Caenorhabditis elegans: one gene and its partner. The protein of the gene in region 1 purifies or fractionates together with the protein of each later gene. This does not show direct contact. Each region holds a gene or a part of one and is shown on either strand. Other genes may lie near its edges.

The links. The genes of interacting proteins can lie anywhere in the genome.
Region 2: the proteins of cki-1 (region 1) and lrr-1 purify together in Caenorhabditis elegans (affinity purification with western blotting; 2 studies listed by BioGRID). This does not show direct contact.

The regions. Positions count from the first base shown.
Region 1 is NC_003280.10:7,809,631-7,812,636, forward strand, and holds cki-1 (Cyclin-dependent kinase inhibitor 1), read left to right. Parts: upstream 1-1,609; 5' UTR 1,610-1,628; coding exon 1,629-1,837; intron 1,838-1,894; coding exon 1,895-2,240; 3' UTR 2,241-2,475; downstream 2,476-3,006. UniProt on the Caenorhabditis elegans protein: Negative cell-cycle regulator that functions at the G1-to-S-phase transition. Required for suspension of the cell cycle in dauer larvae and starved L1 larvae.
Region 2 is NC_003280.10:5,033,642-5,038,164, reverse strand, and holds lrr-1 (PIF1/LRR1 pleckstrin homology domain-containing protein), read left to right. Parts: upstream 1-1,725; 5' UTR 1,726-1,738; coding exon 1,739-1,849; intron 1,850-1,902; coding exon 1,903-2,064; intron 2,065-2,114; coding exon 2,115-2,198; intron 2,199-2,250; coding exon 2,251-2,607; intron 2,608-2,656; coding exon 2,657-2,868; intron 2,869-3,276; coding exon 3,277-3,402; intron 3,403-3,454; coding exon 3,455-3,670; intron 3,671-3,776; coding exon 3,777-3,870; 3' UTR 3,871-4,023; downstream 4,024-4,523. Other genes in the region: golg-2 (Golgin subfamily A conserved domain-containing protein), read left to right, coding at 1-822, 867-1,184, 1,233-1,301; F33G12.3 (DUF1308 domain-containing protein), read left to right, coding at 4,137-4,298, 4,341-4,511.

The sequences.
Region 1 (3,006 bases):
TCATAATTACGTGCTACATAATTTGTTATGCTGGTCGAGGCTCAACGTTTCGAACATCTGGCTCTTTTCCTTCAGCTAACCACACCACTCTTCGTTACAATCCCTTCTGCGCACACATATCCTATCTACCAGCCGGACAGATGCTCGTTTCTCGGTGCAAAACGTTGAGAGTTGAGATCGAGCAGCCGGTTGGTAGTTCTTAATGACAAATTGCCAAGACTTTTTCTGAATTATTTTAGGATTTAAAACTTTTCTAAAGTATTACGATAGTTCATAATTTCTTTCTTTTTTAAAAATTGGCTCTTTTTTGTAATGTATGGTATCTAACTAAAACTAGGCCTCATTTCCATAACTATTCTTTAAATTGAGTTGAGCTCAAAGAGCTTAGACAGAACTGGTGTGAATCATAGAACCCACCTGTGTTTTTACTTTCTTTGAAAAATGTCGGTCACTTAGTCGTCTCTCTGTCTGTTCCTTTTCCTAATCACAAGTAACAACACACAGTCTTCTTTCACATATATTATTTGTTGACCAATCGTAGGGTCAACTATCTAGTACTCGAGACCGCCTATTTGAACAGAGCTCCTCACTGTCACCAAATGTACCGTATTGCTTTCCGGCTGTTATTGTTGTTATCACTGCTTCTTCTTCCTATCATGTTACCCATCCAACTATACACCTTAGACTAGTCATCTTATTGATATACATTCCTCCCATCCAACACAACGGTATTCTATTTATTTATCCAATTAGTCATAGTCGTACCACCATCCAGCACGAAGGTGCCTCTTTAGTAAAGAGTAGAAAGAAGAACCGGATGGGAAATGTTTTTGTTACAAAAATGACACATATTGTAGTGGACAGAAGGAGTGAGACAGACATGAGCAAGCCAATTTGTTTATAATTTCTCTTCTAGAAAAAAATACATTTTTCCATACTTCACTAGTCAAAACCTTTCACCTTTCTAATACATCTCGTAAACCATAATCTTGATAGTTCTGAGCATTTCAATACGAAAGCTTCTCACTGTCTAGATCTCTGACTGAGTGCCCTCATCAAAAGTGCAATCTGTCATCTGTTTCCTCATAATCACGGAGCACTAATTTTTCTCTCTGCGTCTCTATAATCAGATATCTCTCGTCACTAAGAACTTTCCGAAATGTTTATGCTTCTCATCTGACCACTTCGGTTCCGCACAAAAAAGTACGGCATTCCAAAAGAAATCTGATCCCCCTCCGTTCATTCGTGGTCCGAGTCGGTGCCACCAGTCGTTGCGCATTGAATATTTGTTTGGTCCGTTCCCCTTCTTCTCCGACTGCTGACCTCGGGCACTTTGATGACCGGGCCACCACCTCAGTACCCCTCTATTACACCCTCTTTGCCTCCGCGCATATGACTCCACCCCTTCTCGTGGAAGGCGTGTATCTCCCCTCTTTTCCGCTATTCCCTCGATGGATATATATTCAAATGTATGTGTGTTCCTGACGGGAGGGCGTCTCGCTTGAGAGCATCGTCACATCTTTTACAATTTTACTTATGATTTTACTTCATCTTCTTCTTCTTACTGCGATTTTGATATGCATTCTTATGTAAACTATTATTATTCCAGGTTTCCTCACTCTTTTCAAATGTCTTCTGCTCGTCGTTGCCTTTTCGGTCGTCCGACGCCCGAGCAACGCTCCAGGACTCGAATTTGGCTTGAAGATGCTGTTAAGCGCATGCGCCAGGAAGAAAGCCAGAAATGGGGATTCGACTTTGAACTGGAGACTCCCCTCCCAAGCTCTGCTGGATTCGTTTATGAAGTTATTCCAGAGAATTGTGTTCCGGAGTTCTACAGGTAATTGAATTTTATAAATTTTTCATAGTTATTTTACTAAACAGTTTCATTTTTCAGAACCAAAGTTCTCACTGTCAGAACCACATGCTCATCGCTGGACATCAGCTCAACGACTTTGACTCCATTGAGCTCTCCGAGCACATCTGATAAGGAGGAGCCCTCGCTGATGGATCCCAACAGCTCGTTCGAAGATGAAGAGGAACCGAAGAAGTGGCAATTCAGAGAGCCACCAACTCCACGGAAGACCCCAACAAAGCGTCAGCAGAAGATGACCGACTTCATGGCAGTTTCCCGTAAGAAGAATTCGTTGTCTCCAAACAAGCTGTCTCCGGTGAATGTGATCTTCACTCCAAAATCTCGTCGTCCAACGATCAGAACTCGATCTTCATGCTCTCCATACTAGAGGTTTCATTTTGACTTTTTTTTGCCCAATTCCACGGGTTGAATCTAATCATTTGATTATCTCCTCGACAGTTTCTGAGTCTCTCTTAATTGTTCAACTAGTCATGTTTCCACAAATGTTTTATTGTTTGTTCCAAAAGCCCTGTGATCCATGTTTAGGAACTCTGTAACTCTTTTTTCCCATTGCCATTTGTTTTAAACAACTCAAAGAAAAATAAACCCTTTGAAATTATTTTAAGAACTGTATTCTGGTGTTTTCTTCAACTTATAAAAAAAAAGACGAATAGAAACTGGCACACGGTGCAGTTCCATTGGTAACTTCAGCAAAGAATATACTGAAATCACGAAAAGTGGTACAATTCCGCGCATAATTTTGAAACTTCTAACATTCTTCATTAACTTCAAACTTCAAACATTCTGTAAATGTTGTAAGATCAAATAAATCTTTCCCGGTTCACCCACTGCCACCCAAATAGACATTGCGTGAAGATTGCGTGAATTTTAGGTAGCTACCAGCCGGATTAGGCTTCTCTAATTCAAATTGAGTAATATGGAACGTTTATGAGTATATGCTAATAATAAATAAGCATGTTTGATTACTAATTACATAACACCAAGTCATCATATCAATGGACCTTCTCTAGTCCCATAAATCATTTTTATTGCATAACTTTTTCTGAGAGTACATTATCAACATCGTCCTCCTCCCTTTTCTTATATTTTATGTGCTATTCAACCCAGAAAGACAGTTCCCCACGAGAAGACCT
Region 2 (4,523 bases), 2.8 Mb from region 1:
GGTAATCTGTCAGAAGTAATCGCTCGACAACCTCATCTCGAAGCATCACAAGAATCTGCTGCAAGTCAAGAACAACGTGAAGAATCTCAAGAAATCGTGAAACTCAATGAAGAATTGAAAGAAAATATCTCAACGCTTCAAAGAGAAAATGCAGAAATCAGATCCGATTTAGAGCTGAAAACTCATGAACTTCAACTGGTCCGTGCTGATTTGAGACGAAGTAACACTCATAATGAACAAATGGACGAAATAATGAGGCAAAATGCAGAAGATGAGAATCAGAATTCGATTCACGTTGAGCTCACTCAAGCAGTTGGCAGAGTTCAGGATCTTCATGCCGAAAATGAAGCACTCAGAGAAGCTTTTAATAATTGCCGTCAACAATTGGAAGATGAACGAGCTGATAGAAGAGCAGAGGAAGAACGGAAAGATCTCGAAAGCAAACAGGAACAGCTGGAGTTGAAAGAAACCAAGGTTCCAGAAGAAGCTGAAAATCAGCAGTCTTCTAGAGAGCTTCATGAAGATCTATGGGCACGAAAAGAATTAGAGAAACGATTCGCTCGAGCAATGCTTCAGAATGCTGAACTCGTTGAGACAATTGATCGATTAGAGCACATCAACCAGCAGCTAGAACTCGAAAATGACACAATTGCTGATCACGTTGTTCTCTATCAGCATCAGAGAAAATTGGTTCGTGAAAGGCTTCGTGTAAAAGATGAACAATTGAAGGCTATGGAAGAGGACAGAACGAAAACTGTTGCACGATGCCAAGAACTGCAAAATGTGTTAATGACTGTACTTAACAAAGGTGGAGTATTAAAGGTAATTAATCTATGAAACTGTAATACCTACAAGCTAATTTTTAGGAATACCAGACAAGCTCAATCTCCCGAAAAGCAGCTCGCCGAGTTTCCCGAAGCTATAGCCATTCGACAGTTGATGAAATGAGCGGAGACGAAGATGTTTTGGTGGACGCCAAATTGGAAGAAGTTCCAGAGCGTGAAAAAGTACATGGTAATAGTGATGATGAGAAGATTCCAAGTACTCCACCACCAACTGTGTTGGAAGCTCAAAATAGTCCACGATTATCGGATTGTTCTGCTGACAAAGATAATAGTGATACTTTCGGGCAAACCCAAGATGCATCTGTTAGACGAATTTTGGAAATTATTTCTGATATCAGTGTAAGTAGAATATTCTTTGATTCATCGTTCCCAAATATATCTTTACAGAGACCCCAAATTCTACCCGCTGGACAACTCCACTGTACACAATGCATTGGAGATCTTCAAGAACTCTGAATAAAAATGTGCATAATGACTTTACTGTAAACTTTCTTTTAGCTTATAATGTGGGTACAACTTTTAGCTAATTATTATTCTTTATTGTTTCCAGTCCCCGTTTTTTTTGTAAATTTCGACTCTCCCGCTGACTTATTTAAATTATCGTTTTCATCCCCCAATCACTTCCTGTGTTCATTTGTGATATTTATAAGTGACAATTTTCTATTAATTTTATTGAAGTCCGATTAGTTGGTAAGCAAATGGTAATTATTATTTATTTTTTCGTTAATTATTCTTCTTGGGAATAAATGTAAAAACTTTAAAATGTAACTCTCCCCAGTGCTCTTTTATCGGGTTCAACTTGATTTTCCAGAAACTTATTTTGATTTTCAGAGACTTGCTTTTCAAATACAAAGAAACTACCAATAGTTGCTTATTCCAGATTTCAATAAAAAATGCGATTACCATGTGAAGTGGTTTTTGCACGTTATAAAGCAAATGCCGGAGTTAATCCAAAACCCACGAAATCGCAAAAAGGATTTGTTATTCTGCAAAAACTTCGACAGGTAATTTAAATTTTCATAAGTTAATATGTAACAAAACAAAAAAATATTTCCAGACCCCTCCACAATATCAGATAACAGTGGCCGTGGCCGGTGACAAAACTGGAAATAAATTCGAGCTCAACAAGCCGCCAATTATTCTCGACAAATTTATTGCTCAAGGAAAAACCACTATCACATTTCAAACAACTCCTGCTGTGATGGTTTGCATCAGTAAAGTACGTGTAAAGCATTTTTCAATATAAAAATAATAATTTTTATTGTTCAGGCGAATCCAGAAGCGTTGGCACAACTGATAGAAGCCATCAGAAAAATTGTCAAAGGAGAAAATGTGGATATTGAGAAAGTGAAGGTATTAAGCTTGACGGTGGAATTGAAAGAATTAAAATAAAATACTATTTCAGGTAAAAAGTTCCGACTTCAAACCAACTACCATCACGGTCAACAATCAGGCAACGTACAAAAAGCAAATGCAATCATGCTCCGAATTCCTGAAAACACTAAAAATTGAGCCTATCGATTTACGGAGACCTGATAAAGCCTGGAGATTCTGCCATAATCTCACCAGATTAACACTCAATGGAAATCCAATTGGAGCTCATAATAGAGATCTTGACGTGTTTAGCAAGCTGAAGCAATTACAGTCACTCGAGATGAGAAGCTGTTCCCTGGAGTTGATTCCTGTTCCAGCAATGTGTACGATGTTCCGAGAACTACCGACTTCTATCTCATTACTGGATTTTGGAGATAATCATCTTTCAGTACGGCTCCGAAAATAATTATTTTATAATCTTCAAATTTATATTTCAGATTTTCCCTCCAATCTTCCATCTGAAACAGCTCAAGATTATTAATGCTGCTCATAACGCAATAAAATATCTTCCATCACGTATTGGAGTTCTACAGAATCTAAATACAATAGATGTTAGCAACAATCTTATGACAGCTTTACCTTATGTATTCTCAAAAATTCCAAGTATCGAACATGTGGGAATTAATGCCAATGATCAAATGGTTAGATTGTGAGTTTTTTAATTTTTGTTGGAAATATTTAATTTTTAATGTTCAAGCTGCAAAATCGGACTTATGATTTTCCAAGTAAGAACAATTAAATTTTTCAATTAAAATTGTTTACCAAAAAACTGCAAAATATATTTTAAACACACTATTTTGCATATAAAGTCCCGAAAAAGTTTCGGCAATCGGCAAGTTTGACAATTAGCTAATTAGCCAAAATAAAAATTTCCGAAAAAATTTGTAACAATTAAAAAAAACAACTATATTTTTAGTAAATTGCAAAAAAAATTCATGTTTTAACGAAAAGAATAAAAAAATTTTAAATAGGTGAAATTCCAACAGAATAAAAACTAAAAAAAAATAATTAAAATCGACAAGTCGATGCAGCCTATTGCAACCGATTTTTATTTTAGAGAAGAAGAAATTGGACCAATTTTCATACGTCGCCTGCTTACAAAAGTTGATAATATCGAATACACACACGAGGGAGGTGTCGACAAATTGGGCACAATTGCTGCGAATGCTATTCATCGAGAAGAGTACGAGAAATTAAAACTTTAAGAAAAAAATCTTAAATTGAATTCATTTCAGATGCTCAAAATCGATGAAATTTGGACGTCAATTCCTTCCACTCTCACTTCGTTTCGATATGGATGATCTGATGTTTGAAAAACCAGGAATATCATCTCTCGAATTGTGTACAGGATGTGTCAGACTTCGGCATATTCGATATATTCGACCACTTATTATACAATCCAGACAAATTGCTAATTCTGTCGACGTGATCGGAAGATTTGTCACATTTGAGTTAGTTTTTTTTTTCAAAAAATTAAATTTAAAAAAGTTGACAAGTGGTTTTAATCATTTGTCCAAATAAATTTTTCAAAAATGTAATAAGTTTAATTAATTGCAGCCGTCTTCTCTGTATCGACTGTTACCGGAGAACAACTTCAACAAACAATGGAGAACCGCCGTTCCAATGTGATTACTTCCAATTTGCAGTCTAATTTTTCATTATTATCTCACCTTACTCATTTTTAAATATGTAAAAATTAACCCGATCTCAGAATGGGTAAAAAATTGTCCGATGCCTTAAATTTCGAATCTCTCACTTTTGAATCTTGAATCTCACCTTAAGAATAAAAGTTTCCAAGCCTTTTTCTGCTTTTAATTGTTCAATTTAATATTCTAATACTGTTATGTTCGCGAATTTCATATATCTTTTATTCACAAAGTTTTTTTTTCTCAATTTCTGAATTAATTCAGACAAAAAATGCATGGAGTCGACGAAGATGATTTGGAGAGGCAGCGAATCGAAAAAATCAAAGAAGTTCAAGAAGCAGTCGCCAAGTTGACGGGCGCCAAATTCCAAAAATTGGAGAATTTGCAACGAATGGAACGAATGCTTAACAAGGAAATTGAACTACTTCAAAATGTATTTTATAGATTTTATGATTTTTAAATTAAGAATTTTCAGGCTACACGAAAAGCTCTAGAAACTCATTTGGTCACATGTAACTACGCATTCTACAAATCAATAATCGATGAAGTTGAGGAAATGGAAAATGCGACGGCCGTACTGAAAACGTTCAAACGGGATAATGTATCGGTTACTGTAGATATTGTGATGAAAGAACCGAATGTTTGGGTTAGTATTATA